4 separate regions of the Mus musculus genome follow, and regions 2, 3 and 4 are each reported to be linked to region 1. Evidence: microRNA targets listed by miRTarBase, many of them from high-throughput screens and not tested one by one. Region 1 holds a microRNA gene; each other region holds the end of a gene's coding sequence.

What was found. Region 1 holds the annotated microRNA mmu-miR-1950 (UCUGCAUCUAAGGAUAUGGUCA, at 1,765-1,786, shown strand). A microRNA usually pairs through its seed, bases 2 to 8, with sites in the 3' UTR of a target mRNA and lowers its output. Matches are read on the target gene's strand: a 7mer-m8 pairs with bases 2 to 8, a 7mer-A1 pairs with bases 2 to 7 and ends in A, and an 8mer does both.
Region 2: the mRNA of Colec12 is a reported target of mmu-miR-1950. Seed matches in the 3' UTR shown: 8mer at 3,278-3,285 and 7mer-A1 at 2,985-2,991.
Region 3: the mRNA of Rcan2 is a reported target of mmu-miR-1950. Seed matches in the 3' UTR shown: 7mer-m8 at 1,636-1,642.
Region 4: miRTarBase lists Tgm5 as a target of mmu-miR-1950. Seed matches in the 3' UTR shown: 7mer-A1 at 3,475-3,481.

The regions. Positions count from the first base shown.
Region 1 is chr19:34,963,638-34,967,803 of GRCm38, forward strand. Mir1950 (microRNA 1950) reads left to right here and starts at 1,759; the gene lies at 1,759-1,832. It overlaps Kif20b (kinesin family member 20B), which reads left to right. Exons shown (of 32, transcript NM_001362434.1): 26 at 2,410-2,586.
Region 2 is chr18:9,876,607-9,880,772 of GRCm38, reverse strand. Colec12 (collectin sub-family member 12) reads right to left here. Exons shown (of 10, transcript NM_130449.2): 10 at 2,778-3,785. The coding sequence ends at 3,766. Among named protein-coding and RNA genes, the nearest start is that of Thoc1, 79 kb to the left of the region's middle.
Region 3 is chr17:44,036,487-44,040,652 of GRCm38, reverse strand. Rcan2 (regulator of calcineurin 2) reads right to left here. Exons shown (of 5, transcript NM_207649.1): 5 at 1,137-3,680. The coding sequence ends at 3,520. Among named protein-coding and RNA genes, the nearest start is that of Gm34857, 5.2 kb to the left of the region's middle.
Region 4 is chr2:121,042,734-121,046,899 of GRCm38, forward strand. It overlaps Tgm5 (transglutaminase 5), which reads right to left. Exons shown (of 13, transcript NM_028799.3): 12 at 3,948-4,081; 13 at 3,378-3,799. The coding sequence ends at 3,646. Among named protein-coding and RNA genes, the nearest start is that of Epb42, 7.9 kb to the left of the region's middle.

The sequences.
Region 1 (4,166 bases):
GGTCATGAGCTGCTTTGTGAGTGCTGAAACTTGAACCCAAGTCCTCTAGAAAAGCTGCCAGTGCTCTTTTTTTGTTTAAAAATCCCCTCCCTCCCTCCCTCCCTCCCTCCCTCCCTCCCTCCCTCCCTCCCTCCCTCCCGCCGCCCCTCTCTCTTTCTTAAACTCCACATTTTATTCCCCTCCTGGTCCACCCTCCAACTGTTCCACATTCCACATCCCATACCTCCTTCTCATGCCCCTGTCTCCATGAGGATGTCTTCACCCTTCACCCCACACCTCTCACACAAGCAGACCTCTAAACTTCCTGGGGCCTCCAGTCTCTTGAGGGGTATAGCTTCTCAGGCTAAACCCAGACCTGGCAGTCCTCTGCTGTATATGTGTTGGGGGCCTCTTATTAGCTGGTGTATGCTGCCTGGTTGGTGGTCCAGTGTTTGAGAGATCTCGGGGATCCAGATTAATTGAGACTGCTGGTCCTCCTACACGGTCGCCCTCCTCCTCAGCTTCTTCCAGCTTTTCCCTTATTCAACCGCAATTTGTGCAAGGTGACAAATATGGATCTATTTTCATTCTTCTACATACAGACAGCCAGTTATACCAGCACAGCACCATTTATTGAAGATGCTTTCTTTTTTCCATTGTATGTTTGTCTTCTTTGTCAAAGATCAAGTGCCTGTAAGTGTGTGGTTTTATTTGTGGGTCTTTAGTTCTATTCCATTGATCAATGTGTCTGTCTCTGTAACAATACCATGCAGTTTTTAATCACTATTGCTCTGTAGTATTTAAGCTTGAAGTCAGGGATGGTGATTTCCCCCAGCCATTCTTCTGTTGTTAAGAATTGTTTTCACTATTCTTTTTCTGCTTTTGTTTTTGTTTTTGTTTTTGCCTTTCCAGATGAATTTGAGCATTGCTTTTTCAGTGTCTGAAGAATGTGTTGGGATTTTGATGGGGATTGCACTGACTCTGTAGATTGCCTTTGGTAGGACGGCCATCTTTACTGTTGGTGCTGCCAATCCATGAGCATGGGCGGTCTCTCCATTTTCTGAGGTCTTTAATTTCTTTCTTGATAGACTTGAAGTTATTGTCATAAAGATCTTTCACTTGTTTGGTTAGAGTTACCCCAAGATATTTTATATTATTGTGGCTATTGTGAAAGGAGTTGTTTCCCTAATTTCTTTCTCAGCCTGTTTATCCTTTGTATAAAGGAAGGCTACTGATTTATTTTATCCAGCCACTTTGCTGAAGTTGTTTACTAGCTGGAGAACTTCTCTGGTAGAGTTTTGGGGCCACTTATGTATAGTATCATGTCATCTGCACATAGTGATGCCTTTATTTCTTCTTTACCAATTTGTATCCCCTTGGTCTCCTTTTGTTGTCTTATTTAGCTAACACTTTGAGTACTATATTGAATAGATATGGGGAGAGTGGGAATCCTTTTCTTGTCCCCGATTTTAGTGAGATTGCCTCAAGTATGTCTCCATTTAATTTGATATTGGCTGTTGGTTTGCAGTAAATTGCTTTTATCATGTTTAGGTATGGGCCTTGAATTCCTGATCTCCAATACCTTTAACATGAAGGGGTGTTGTATTTTGTCAAATGCTTTTTTTTTTTCTTTTGGTTTTTCAAGACGTGGTTTCTCTGTAGCCCTGGCTGTCCTGGAAATCACTTTGTAGACCAGGCTGGCCTCGAACTCAGAAATCCGCCTGTCTCTGCCTCTCGAGTGCTGGGATTAAAGGCGTGCGCCACCATGCCCGGCCAAATGCTTTTTCTGCATCTAAGGATATGGTCATTTAATTGTTTTTTTCCATGATCATCTCCTTAAATGCAGAAAAAGCAGCCAGTTTTCTGCTTCATTTTCCTATTTTTAGTTACTATAAGGTATGTCATTTGTTTTACTATAGTTTTATTTTTTTATTCAAATATTGGAAATAATATTATAAATACTATAATTATTATTTATTGAAAGAAATTTCTAATAATTGATTTTTTTGTAGGTGGTATAAGAACAAATATGATTTATAGAAATTTATTTATTTTTGAGTTAGGTTCTCACTAATTAGCTTTGGCAAGCCTAGAACTCTTTGTGTAGACCAGGCTAGCCTGGAACCGACTTGCCTCTGACTACTGTGTGTTAGGATTAAAGGTGTGAACCACTGCTCCTGGCAAATATACTTAAAAGATAAAATGGTGTTTTGTATTTTATAAGCATTTCATTCACACATGAATGCGTAATATATATATTATTCATGTGTTATATTTAATAAAATCTCAGTACATTCTTAGATTACAAAGATTTATGTTTGATTTTTCAGTTAGTTCTTTAGGTTGGGAAACAAGGTAATGGGTTCCATGTTGACGTTTCATACCTATGTCATTACACTTCAGTATGCATCCTTTGTGCTTGTTGTCCAGGAAACACTGACAGCACAGCTGGCAGAGAAAAATAGTGAGCTTCAGAAGTGGAGAGAAGAGCGTGACCAGCTGGTCACAGCTGTAGAGACACAGATGAAGGCTCTGCTCTCCAGCTGCAAGCACAAGGATGAAGAAATCCAGGAACTAAGAAAGGCTGCAGCAAAGAGCACCGGGACAGTGAGTGGACGCCGGCTCTTTCTGTATCTCCTTGTTGAAAATTACTTTTCAAAATTACTTCTCAGCTGTGTAGACTCAGTATATCAGAAAGGATATATAGCATTTTGTATATTTTCATGGTTTTTTATTTTTTTGAGTTTATTACTGATTAGTCAATGTCTAGAATATAACAACTTGTCTTGATACTTTTCATACTTCCCAGATTAAATAATTAAAAGTCTATAATTTAGGATTATCTTAATCTATCTTAAAAATGTAGAAAGGTGGTTCGGCATGAAGTTTTGGTGAGTCTTATAGAATTAGACCCACTCTTAATTAAATTTAATTTTAAAAATTTGAGGTGGTCAGTCTCAGTATAGCTCTGTCTGTCCTGGAACTTGTTGAGATATACCTGCCTCTACTAGGAATAAAGGCATCACCACCAATGCACCCACTCTAGCCCACCATTAATTTTATTATGTAAAGATAAAAAAATATTTTAAAAGTAAGTATAGTGATGAAGAGGCATCAGGAGTTGGCAAAGCAATTACTTTTTTAGTTGGGGTTGGAAATCCTAATCTGGGAGCTTGTCTTTTATAGATAGCACATCCTTATAAACCATCGGGGCATATTTGAAGATTGGGAGACAGATGGAAGTAGATCTGTGTGAGTTTAAGGCTAACCTGGTCTACATAGCAGGTTTCAGGCCTAGCAGGGCTGCATAGTGAGGATATCTCCATCAATAAAATAGGGAACACTGTCTTCTTAGCATCATACAGTTATAACACTTGGGAGTTGCTCGCTCTCCATATGAATGCAATGTAGAATCTCTGTTACTTGCCAATATTAGGGAGATGACATGAGCACACTTGAATGGCTGTGCTATGATAAATATTGGAGTTTATTAAGTTAAAAACATGTTGTATTTCTTTATGAGTCCCATAAGTAGTGTTTTGGAATAAGCCCCTTCTTAAAGGAAAATGGCATGTAAGAAAAGATTTAGTTACTATTTTCTCTTTTTCTATTCTTAATGTTGTGGTTGCTTAACTAAGCAGCCTCTAGGTTCATTACTTTATTTTTAATTTTTACATATATTTATTTTGTATGTGTGTATGTGTGTGTACACATAGACCGCAGCATGTTTCTGGAAGTCAGAGCAGAAACACAGGGAATTGACTTTTGTCCTCTACTGTGTAGGTTATAGAATCCAACTCAGTGTCAGTCTGACATGGCTTGCTTGGTGGCATGTGCCTTCACTTGTTAAGCCATTCTGCTAACCCACCTCGAGTTTTTCAAAAATCATTTTATCAAAATTGCGATTCAAAGTTCCAGCTAAGGCTTAACATAGCTTGTCACTTTGTTAAGAAAATAGAACAGAATAGAAGGCATGCAGACACGCCCATACTCAACTGCATAGGTGAGAAGGTAACATTTAGGACTCAGTTCTTTCTTTCCACTGTGGGTTCCACAGATTGGATTCAGGTTGTGATACCTGAAATCCAGGAGATTCTACCTGCTGAGGCACCTGTCTTGTTTTTTGCCTTTTGCTTTTAAAGGCAGAATCTTACTGTGACCTTGAACATGCACATGATGCACATGCA
Region 2 (4,166 bases), not on the chromosome of region 1:
CATAGTTTTAGAGGCTTCAGAGGTCTCTTGCTCCTACTGCCTTGGGCTTATGGCAGTGGGAACAATGTGGTAGCAAAGGCCCATCTACCTTATTGTGGCCATGAAGTAAAGAGATAGAAAGACATTTTCCCAGTGACACAGTTCCCTCTCACAAGACCTCATCTCCCAGTGATGCCATAGGCTGGGGATCAAACATTTGTGTGTGACAGAAAGTAAATAAACCAATGAACCTGTGTTTTAACAAGTTTGTTTATAAAAACAGACTATCGGCCATATTTGCTGATTCCTAGTCTAGTGTGAGCATGTACCATATAAAGAACTTACTACAATCTTTCCCTTACAACCTCCCGTGTGTGGAATGTCCCTAGTGGGATTCAAGACATGCTTGTCAGCCTGTCTCTGACAAAGAAAAATTACTTCCTTGCTTTCTACCCAAGGTTCCATTTTTTCCTGGCATGGAACCAAGCCTGCTTTAATGGGAGCTACTACTCTATAAAGAACTGTTCCCTCACTTACCTGGGTCAAGTTATTAGGTGTCTGCAATGACTTAAAACTTGTTATTTCCTTAGCTGAACCAGGTACTTGAAAGATTTCTAAACAGAGAAAGGAACTAAGAGCATGACATGTATCTTTGGAGCCAGACACTGTAGTAGGTGATTTCTGCATATCACCTCATTAAAATTTGCAATGACTCTGTGAGACAGGTATAAGTATATCCAGTGTACATTTGGCAAATTCAAATATCACAGTTAATATACTTGCTTTTTTTTCTGTTTTTTAAAAAAGTTTGTTCATTTAAAAAAAATTAATCCTGACTGAACTTCCCACTCCCCCCATTCTTCTCACTCCCCCAGATCCACTCTTCCTGTTTCTCTTTAGAAAAGAGCAGTCCTCCCAGGAATATCCACTGAATATGGCATAACAAGATAAGTCTAGGAACAAACCCTTTAAAAAGATTTTTAAATTTTTTTACTTAGGTGTCTGTGTGTATCTGTGTGGGTGTATGACAGCTGTGTCATGGAGGCTTTTAGTTCCCTGGATCTGGAGTTGTAGAAAGTTGAAAGTTCTCCAACTTGGGTGCTGAAAACTGAACTCAGATCCTCTGTAAGAGCAGTAACTGAGGTTTGGTTACAGATCAGATTAAAGAAGAATTAAATATGAATAAAACAGTTCACTTTCATGTGTCATGTGGAAAGGCTTAAAAGTCTCTCTTTGTTGAGGTGGTTCACATGCTCAATTTATCCATTATGATTTGCTGTTGTCGTTAAGGACACCTTTGATTTCCCATGACATATGTACCTTGTCTAGTATAGAAATTAATAACTGAAGAGGTTAGGCAGGTCTTAAAATTTTAATTTCCTTTTCTTTTGGCTAAATATTACATCCTAGGGTTCCAAGCTTACCTGAAATGTTTATATGTGATCACTTCTCTGGAAGCTTACACTTTATAAGGGAAGAAAGAATATAGGTTGTAACCTCCTTCCAGCCTAGTCAGGCTGGCTCAGACCATCTGCCACTGAGGCAGAGCCACCTGCTGTGCTGCTTCTCATCCCTCTCCTTTGATGTGCCATTACCTGCTACCTGCCTGAGGCAGAACTGGTTTCCCAAGATCTTCCAGAGTTAACATTGAACTGTGATTTTCGAGAGTTCCTGCTAAAAGACTGATCTGACAACTTCACAAGAAACTTAGCTGGGAATGGGCCTCCCCTCTTCTTTATAAAGCGTGTTCTCTGACATTAAAGTTGAACCTTGATCAGAATATTGTCTTGGTTCCATTTCTCTCTCAACCTGCCTAGATTCCCTCTTTTCTTTCAGTTCCAAGATGCATCCCAGGCTCAAACCCAGACATGAGAGCCACAGGCCGGCCCCAACAATAGGTGACATGGGACAGGGGCTTGGACAACCTTCACCCTCTGCCTGAGCTATGAAACAGATGCAAAGACAGGAGTACACACAAGTCTTAGAATCACAAGGGAAGATTCTTTTCAGGGTTCAACAAATAACCAAAAGTTTACTTTTGCATTTCATTTAGCCCATGTCTTGGAGTTATGCTTTGAGAATTCTACTTTCCAAATGGCATGTAGCTGGTTTCTGTCTTGCAAGCATCACTTGGCTGCCTTTGTCTGATGTGACATTATAATCTCTTGCCTGCTCTGATATGAGTCTGACACTAAGCCTGTTTATAAATCAGCCTTAAACCAGGGCCTTGGAGACACCCAGATTCAGGTGCTCTGTCCGTCCCCACAGATGCTTCTCCATCATTCCAGATCCACAAAGTAGAACAAAAGCACATCCCAAGTCAACACTTCCTTTCCCTCTTTCTTTCTTTCTTTCTTTCTTTCTTTCTTTCTTTCTTTCTTTCTTTCTTTCTTTCTTTCTTTCTTTCTTTCTTTCTTCCTTTCTCTCTCTCTCTCTCTTTCTTTCTTTCTTTTTTTTTTCTTTTTTGGTTTTTCAAGACAGGGTTTCTCTGTGTAGCCCTGGCTGTCCTGGAACTCACTCTGTAGACCAGGCTGGTCTCGAACTCAGAAATCCGCCTGCCTCTGCCTCCCAAGTGCTGGGATTAAAGGCGTACACCACCACTTCCCAGCTTAACACTTCCTCTTACTGGAAGTGGCCAGTGCTGGGCTAGTGGCACAGCCTACTTGAATGAGCTGTCATGATGTTCTCAGGCTTGAGCTCCGCCATCACCAAAATGTACAAGGGCATTTCCAGATGCTTCATGTGATTCACGGTTCTGAAGAAATCACACAGACATAGACACATACAACAAAAATTTTCTTCAGCTGGACAGATTAAATCTGAAGAGAAACTCCATGAAATTTTATTAGTACCGCTATTATTATCTTTGGCTTTATGTATCATATAGGTACATTAAAAAAAGGAAAATGATTGTAAAAGGCAAATATTTTGTATAAAAATACGAAGTTTAAAAGCTCTTTAAGTATATTTCATATTATTACTAAAATGTGGCCTATATGTGTGCATCTGCATATTTTTCCTACATTTGGGATTTTAGAAACACACTGTTTACACAGAGCCAGTGTACTGGCTAGTTTTGTGTCAACTTGACACAGCTGGAGTTATCACAGAGAAAGGAGCTTCAGTTGAGGAAATGCCTCCATGAGATCTAACTGTAAGGCATTTTCTCAATTAGTGATCAAGGGGGAAAGGTCCCTTGTGGGTGGGACCATCCCTGGGCTGGTAGTCTTGGTTCTGTAAGAGAGCAGGCTGAGCAAGCCAGGGGAAGCAAGCCAGTAAAGAACATCCCTCCATGGCCTCTGCATCAGCTTCTGCTTCCTGATCTGCTTGAGTTCCAGTCCTGACTTCCTTTGGTGATGAACAGCAGTATGGAAGTGTAAGCCGAATAAACCCTTTCCTCCCCAACTTCCTTCTTGGTCATGATGTTTGTGCAGGAATAGAAACCCTGACTAAGACAGTCAGTAACTCAACAACCAATGATAGTCTTTTTCTGATTGGAGCATTCCATATTTGGAAAGATATACTTTGCATAAATTCTATGGTTAATGGCTGAGAAAATCTATGCGATTCAGTCCATTTGTACACTGGAAATCAATATATCAACTTGGGGGAGCATTTTAGCCCCCTAGTCCTTGGGTTATTGTGCAGTAGGTGTCCATTTATTTTGAATAACTACTTTTCAGAGCTTTTTCCATTCAATCTGGTGAGAAGTGATGGAATCAAAAACGAGCATTCTTCGGCTTTCAGAGGCATCAGAAAATATGTTTCTGCTATTATATCATGCTGTTATAATATGGATGATGGTACTGAAACAGAAAAAAAAGGATGGGCATTAGTTTTGTTTGAATAATAAAATTATTAACAACTTAAAACAGGAGGAATCTTTAGGAAAGAGCACAAATGGCATTATTGAAAGAAAAATGTTGGGAAGTTGTTTTTTTTTTGTTTTTGTTTTTTGTTTTTTCCAGATTAAGCAATGTGGAGCAAGCAGACCGTGCCACCAGACAGAAAAACTGGTAAGATTGAAGTAAGTTCAAAACCCCGGAGAATCTCAGAATTGAAAATGGTAGGTGTGGAACCAGTTTCCTGCCAAGCCAAGCTCTACCTGTTCTGGAATGTGTAACCATGACACCCCACTGAGAGGACCATGACAACTCATCACATAACATAAAATTCTGGAGTCCTCC
Region 3 (4,166 bases), not on the chromosome of region 1:
GAGGTGAGGTGGAGCACCTTTGACTGTTTATGGGCCTTCAGATAGTTAAGGCACATGGATCTATGTGAATTGCCCGATGTAGGTTAATCATCAAAAAGAAAGTATTGTATGTCTTTTACAACTGGCTTTTAGAGCAGCAATTCTCAACTTGTGGGTTTTGACCCCCTAAAGAACATTGGAAAAATACAGATATTTATATTATGATTCATAACAGTAGCAAAATTACACTTAGGAAGTAACAATGAAAATAATTTTATGGTTAGGTGTCACCAAGACATGAAGACATGTATTAAAGGGTCGCAGTGTTAGAGAGGTTGAGAACCATTGCTTGGCTGTGAGTTATTTAACTCCTCCATGTGTATCGGCTCTAACCTTAATGATTTCCAGAAAGCAAACCTTTTATATTTCACGAGCATTTCTTTTATTGTTTAAGGGCTCTCTATCAGAGGGCTTCCTGTTAGTGTTTTTAAAGAACATAGTGGGAAGGTGTTAAAAAATGTTCTTAGTCCTGAACACAGGGACCCCAATGGAGGAGCTAGAGAAAGTACCCAAGGAGCTGAAGGGGTCTGCAACCCCATAGGTGGAACAACAATATGAATAGCCAGTACACCCAGAGCTCGTGGCTCTAGCTTCATATGTAGCAGAAGATGGCCTAGTCGGCCATCATTGGGAAGAGAGGCCCCTTGGTCTTGCAAACTTTATATGCCCCCGTGCAGGGGAATGCCAGGGCCAGGAAGTGGGAGTGGGTGGGTTGGGGAGCAGGGTGGGGGGGGAGGTATAGAGGACTTTCGGGATAGCATTTGGGATGCAAATGAAGAAAATATCTAATTTTTAAAAAGGTGTTCTTAGCACACTTGAAATGCCTTTTGGAATCAGTATGGTTGAACTTGACAGTAAAATAACCTTCTGAGCCCCCTTAATGAGAAGCCAACCCATCTTTCCAGGCTTGGCTTAAATAACTTCTTCATGGGAATGCTATTACCAGCTTCCCTCCTAGTTCATTAGGAAGAATATCATTGGGTTAGCTCCATACGTTGGTTACCCTTCAGAAAACTCCAAGCTGGCTTGCACTCCCCCACCTCCCCAGCCTCAGGGATCCTTAGTCCAGGCAGACAAGTCAGAAATGATGCCACACAGACAGTCATTCACCAGATATATTTGAACTCTAAGCTCTTTGAGCTGTACACGTGCACAAATGATTCAGTTGGTGGAAACCTTCCCCTTCCCCTCCATTTAAAAACGTTTCAAACTTAAAAGAGCGCTAAAGAGGTTTGCATAATGAGCATCATGGAAGTGTCCAGGTGACTTTCTCGATGCTGGGAGGTCCCGTGGCTTCCCCATTCCTTCTGGGGAAAGCTCCCCCTCCCCCGTCCCCATGCTCAATCTAGCGCGAGAACCCCTTGATCTGTAGCAGGTTAACGTCAACAGATGGCAATACAGTTTACTAAGACTAATCATCTGGGCCGTCTAGAACACTGAGTTCTTAAGGACTATGCAAGGTAGTCACACTCAACTTTTACTAAATTAGACATTTCTGCTATCATTGTTTGGAAGCGCAAATTATTTCCCAGACTTTCATTTTGTTTCTCTCTCTCTCTCTCTCTCTCTCTCTCTCTCTCTCTCTCTCTCTCTCTCCTGCATCCTGAAAGTTAATGTGGATTAGAAGGTCAGCCCCTGGTAGTTGACTGTTGTAATCAATCCATCTATACAACCGATTTCACTGTTTCTGCCACGAGAGGGCATCATCTCGCCACTATTTCTAGTCTTTCCATGGCCAATTTAAAAAAAAGAAAACAAAACCTTCCACAACAAAGGAAAGTCAAAGCCTTTGCTTACTGTGTACACTCCTCAGATCTGATTTTGAAAAGACGACTTGTTTTCCCCATGGAAACTTAGGATTCCACAAGCAATACTGTCCTCGGTCTCAATCGTACTGTACCGTGTCCGGCACTATATTGCTATATTTCACAGTAGAACGGACTTTTAATTTTCTGAATGATCAGTCTAGGTTTGAAGTTTCTGCGGAAACTAACATACACCTTAATCAAAAAACCACAATTATCCCCCCATCAGGTGGCTGTGTTAGTGTTCTTGTGTGTTACTCCGAGGCTTAGGCCATGAAAGTCCTTGCCTGTTGTGTGGTAAATGGTATTTGCATCCAAAGTTACTAGTTAATGAACAGGAATAGATGAGGCTTGACACATGGAGCAGAAAGTATGGTTCTGCAGGTGTATCTTCTGTAATGCACTTTGGGCTAGAGATATACAAAAGTCACACATAACAAAAACAAGGAACTTTTGAGCGCATGGGCATTGGATGAATGGGAAGGGCATCCGTTTACCCATCATCCTTTGTGCTCTGAAATGCTCAGCTGTATACATTTCTTGGATTTAGCGTCACCCAAGTTGCTTATAACTGATACTTGGATCTTTGTTTGGAAACAGGTGGTTTGGACAGCAAAGGTTGGCTAGTCAGTTATCTATTGGCATGAGACATTGCTGTTCCCTTTTACAACTTAGCACGAACCGCAATAGCATGTAATAGTATCAGGTTATCTACATTAGAATCAGAATGCATTCAGAAGCAACACAGGTATGATGTCATTAAGCAGCTAATGGTTGAACAATCACTAAATAAAAAACATCCAGATTTTAAAAGCACAGCTCAAACATCTGTACAAATATACAAAGGGGTAGGGGACAGTCATTCAGACACTATGAGATTTTATAATAAATAGGTTTGTCTGAAATCGGTCTCTGTCACTTGGACAAGCCTCCCCAGTAACACTGGGTAGACCTCTGTGGTAGTGATGTTCAACATCTTTGGGGCCATGCTCAATTTTACCTCCAGGAATTTGGCCAGAGTTATATGATGTAATTGACTCAAACTAATAATGATTCCCAGACTTATTGAGCTGAATGGTGCTGCGGATGCCCCTTGTCTATACAGGACAGGGCTGGGATACCACAAGTTGGGGCATACCCTCAAAATCATCAAAATCAATGCTGGTGATCGTGCATGTCCTGGGAATGTCGGGATGCAGAGGACTGGGTGAGACCAGATAGGGGGATCTCATGCAGTCAAAGCCAAGTTTACTTATGGTCCTATATAAGTGGCCAGGAAAAAAACATCACACACACACACACACACACACACACACACACACACACAGGACTGAACTGGAGCAGCTCACAAACAACATAAAGGCTCTTCATTACCGATGTCTCTGGCTTGGATCAACATGAAAGAACAGAGATATGGGCTGTACTGATTATTTAATAAGAAAATACTACCCTCTATCTAGAACTTTCTAAGTGATGGATTGTAGTTAATGGGTAGGAGTTGATTGGGAGACATATCACCTTTGCCTAGCCCTTTTGTCCGAGAGGCTTAATTACAAGGAAGGATTCGCAAACAACCAAACACCCAGGGACTTAAAGGCAATTAATTGTTTGGACAAACAACAAGGGGGGGGGCGGGAAGCATGATAAGAGGAGATGCATGTTATCATGGACGTGCTCAGTTGGACACGGAGGGTGGCAGGCCGGGACGCCGGGTCTGGATGATTTTTGGCTTTGGGGAAGTCTTTGGGTCCTCCTCCTCCTCCATGTCGCTGTCACACACATGCACCACGACGCTCGGTGTAGACTCAGTTCCAGCGTGCAGCTCATATTTCTCTCCTGAAAAGCAAGAGACATTGGCTGAGAAAAGGGACAGAGGTTTGTTGTTTGGTTGGTTGGGGTTTTTTTTTTTTTTGTCTATTTGTTGTTGTTTGTTGTTGTTTTGTTTTGTTGCTGTTTTGAGACAGGGTCTCTCTGTGTAGCTCCAGCTGTCCTTTAACTCACTCTGCAGACTAGCCTGGCCTCAATCACAGAGATCAACCTGCCTATGCTTCCTAAGTGCTGGGATTAAAGGCATGAGCCTGGCTGAAGGTGTTTTTAAATTCATTTTCTCATATATTACATCCTGACCACAGTTTCCTCTCCCCCACTCTCTCCCTGCATTTCCCCCACCTACCCCTCCATTTCTCTTCAGAAAAGGGCAGGCCTTCCATGGATATCAACCAAAGAGCATGTCAAATAAGACTAGACACCTCCCCTCGAATTAAGGCTGAACAAGGCAATTCAGTAGTAGGAAAAAGATCAAGAGAGTCAGAGATAGCCCCT
Region 4 (4,166 bases), not on the chromosome of region 1:
AAGTCGTCATGGGAGCAAGGATTGGCTGGGTCAAGATCTTTGGAGGAGCGTGCATAGAAATGATCTTGATCCCAGCTCCTGCCTTTCCATGGACATTTGCTGATTTATAGTTGGCAGGTAAATGTGTGGGAATCTGAGATCATCTGGCAGCCTCACAAAAATGGAGTTCTAGGCTCTCCAAGGGTGAAGGGTCCCAGTAAATACTTCACAATTTTGATTGGGGCCAAAAAGGGACTCCAGGAGAAAACAGTAAATAGGAGACAGAAAGCAATTTTATTTTATAATTTAAAAAATTATTTTATTTTAATAAATTAATTTCACAATGCGTGTGCAGTGCCCATGGAGGTCAGAGGAGGGCATCAGATCTGGAGTTAGTTGTGAGCTGGTAGTTAGTTGTGAGCTGCCGTATGGGTGCTGGGAACTGAACCCAGGTCCTCTGCAAGAACAGCCAATGCTCTTAACCACTGAGGCATCTCAGGTCCAGAAACCAGTTTTAAATCAGCCCCAATTACAATGCTTTACCCCCATTTGAACTGGCAGAGAGAATATTCTCTAGAGTAAATTAGCATCATCCAGAGCCTGAAGTTGAACACAGATCTCTCTCTCTCTCTCTCTCTCTCTCTCTCTCTCTCTCTCTCTCTCTCTCTCTCTCTCTCTCTCTCACACACACACACACACACACACATGCCCACAGATTCACTCATGTTCTCAGACTTAACAGTCCCTAGACACCTTGGCTAGTCCAGGCTCCTGGCCTGCCTCCCTTCAGGAAGCTCCTTGCTCTCATATGGTTAAAGAAAGCCAAGCCTCATCCTAGAGGAAGCAGGGGAACTCTGGGTTCTGATAACAACAGTTTGAAATCAAGTTATTCTTGTTATGCTTAGGGAAAAGCAGCCAGTCCCAAGCTGGATACTAGAAAATGAAGCCTCAGAGGTAGGTGTAGAGGTGTTACATATTGCATGTGAGTGCTCACCTGATGAAGAAAGGCTGGGAAATGGTTTAATTAAGCCAAAGATCAGAGAGCAGCAGAGCCTAGGCAACAAGGTTTAGCTGTTGCCACTGCCTGCCCTTCCCACACAGCCAGTCTCAGACTCTCTTGCTATAAATATGGTGAGAAAAAACAAGGGCTTCTACTACTTCCTTGGACTCTGTTAAAAATCTCCTTGGTAGTTGTGCTGGCTGGTTTTGTGTGTCAACTTGACACAAGCTGGAGTTATCACAGAGAAAGGAGCTTCAGGTGAGGAAATTCCTCCATGAGATCCAGCTGTAAGGCATTTTCTCAATTAGTGATTAAGAGGGGAGGGCCCATTGTGGATGGTGCTATACTTGGGCTGGTAGTCTTGGATTCTATAAGAAAGCAAACTGAGCAAGCCAGGGGAAGCAAGCCAGTAAGCAGCACTCTTCCATGACCTCTGCATCAGCTCCTGCTTTCTGCCCTGTATATGTTCCAGTCCTGACTTCCTTTGGTGATGAACAGCAATGTGAATGTGTAAGTTGAATAAACCCTTTCCTCCCCAACTTGCTCCTTGGTCATGATGTTTGTGCAGGAATAGAAGCCCTGACGAAGACAGTAGGTGAGAGGGCTCAGTGGGTAAAGGCACTTGCTGCCAAGTCTGATGACCTGAGTCATGTGGTAGAAGTTGTCAAGTTGTTCTCTGACTGCATGCTACGACATTCATGTGGCCATACATGCATGTTCACACACATGCATGTGTGCTCACGGAACACTCACTAAAAATAAATGTAAAAACGTTAAAATAAAAAAAATTAAAAGTCTTTAAAAATCTCCCACCTATTCCACATTCTTCAAATGCCTGTGCTTGAGCCCCTTGTGCACCCGCTCTGGTCCTTCGTGTATATACTCGGTGCCCGCTGCCTCAGGGCCTTCGTGTATGTACTCGGTGCCCGCTGCCTCAGGGCCTTCGTGTATATACTTGGTGCCCGCTGCCTCGGGGCCTTCGTGTATGTACTCGGTGCCCGCTGCCTCGGGGCCTTCGTGTATATACTCGGTGCCCACTGCCTCAGGGCCTTCGTGTATGTACTCAGTGCCCGCTGCCTCAGGGCCTTCGTGTATATACTCGGTGCCCGCTGCCTCAGGGCCTTGTGCCTGAAAGAAGAAACTCAGCCACTATTTGTTGAGGGAGCTGATGAATGTGGAGTTGACAACAGGACTCATGGACAAGCTTGAGAATGTGGCAGCTGAAGACTCCCAAGTACTTCAGAGTTCACTGACTCTCAGGTGTGCCACTCCACGGTGTTTTCCTTAAATGCTTTCTTATTCTTGTCATGTGGTAATTATAGGGTAAAGTAATTGTAGGTTACTTCCAGCTGTGCTGCCAGCTCCTGGTTCTCAGATACAGGACAATCGGCTTACAAGGTAATTCCCACCACACCCCTTCTCTGATTGAGATTAACGACATTGACCCTTTTTGTTTATGTGTAATGGAAGTCGTTAACTTCTATTTAATGACTGAACACTTACTAGGACCTCTGCCTCAGTCACAGTAGCCAGTGCCTGGAGGGCAGCATCCATCATGCCTTTCATTGGCAGTGGCCCGGGTAAACAGGTGCAAAGTTGCTCTGTGTGTAGCACCCTGAGAGGGCAGGGTTTGAGCGACCTTCAGTGTACGCTGAGACCAGAGGCTAGTTCATTCCCACCAAATATCTACCTCATTACATCATTCAGTTGGCTTTTACCTCCCGACTGCCAGCCAATGGCAGACCTGTAAGGACACAGTGAATTGGATGGAGACCCTGGGACTGAGAGTACTGAGCAATAATGTCAATGCTATACGGGAAGTATAGTTAAGGGAAGACCTGAGGGAGAGATCTGCCAGGATTTTATTTTACTCTCTTTTTGCCAAGAAACTGAGGCAGGACATGGGTATAAGAAACCTTGGGGATCTTTGCCCTTTGCCTACGTTGTGATGGGCACCTGCCAGGATGTCTATTTTCCCTGTTCCCTCTAGAATGAGGGCTCAGCATGCCAGGGCTTTTGCTTGTCTCTTATACTCAGAGTGGTATTGCTATACTCTGGACACTCAGTGAATACTTCTTGAATGAGTGGATGGGCTTAGACCTTGAAACAACAGGGAACTCATTAGCAACTGAAGGGCCATTGGAGCTCTGAAGGGAAAGTGAAGGGTGAGGGCAAGGAAGGGAATGGGGTTTGCCCATGCTGTGACATCGGCGCAGATACAAAGAGATAGAGAGCTGCTAAGCCTGTCTTCCCTTGACCTCTGTGCCAAATCACACTTCTGTAAGGTAGAATCCCTGGGTAGAGTCCCGACAAGTTGTGTAAACTAGCTATCTCTGGCATCTCCCTTGATGTTGATGACAGAGTTTGGTTAGGCCTTCATTTTAAAATCCATACTGCTGCCATATCTCGGAGTTTATTTTAAATGAAATTTTAAAAAATTTTAGATTTATTTATTTTCACTTTATGTGTATGAAAGTCGGGGTTTTTTTTTTTTTTCTGCATGCATGTATGTGCACCATGTATGCTGGTTGGATTCCCCTGAAAATGGGGTTACAGAGGATTGTGAGCCACCTTGTGGGTTCTGGAAAATTGAACCCAAGTCCTTTGCAAAGGACTGTCACATCCTGTCAACCGCTGAGCCATCTCTCCAGCCTCTGTCTCAGAGTTTATAAGCCAATGTCTACATACACGTTCTTGTAGCCCTTGATGTCTTTAAACCTATTGCTCCTCAGATTAGCTTGGATCTGCCTTTGGCCACTCTTGAAGGGGACGGTCTTCAGAGTGATGCTGGCTTTGTGATGGGGTTTGAGGACGCCAATGCTGCAAAGAGAGAGGAGAATGTCAGAAAACCCCTCTCCTTGTCAGTTCCTGGACTCTGTTTTCCAGCGTCCTGTGTCTGGCCTAGGGGCCTGATAATACGAAAGGGAGGAAACATTGAGAGGGAAGACAGAGTGCTCCCAGCACTTACAGAACTCTCTGCTGCTTTCTAAAGAGACCACTTCCTTCCAAGGTCAGCACACAGTCCTCAACCGGCTCTGAGAGCGGGTTTGAGAAGACCACCTGGACTGTGAGCGGCTGATTCACAAAGGCAGCTCCTAGAACCTAAGCAGAGACCCAGAGATTAGTCATCATCTCGAGTTCACTGAATGCTAATGCACATTGCTGGTTTGTAACGTCAGGATAAACC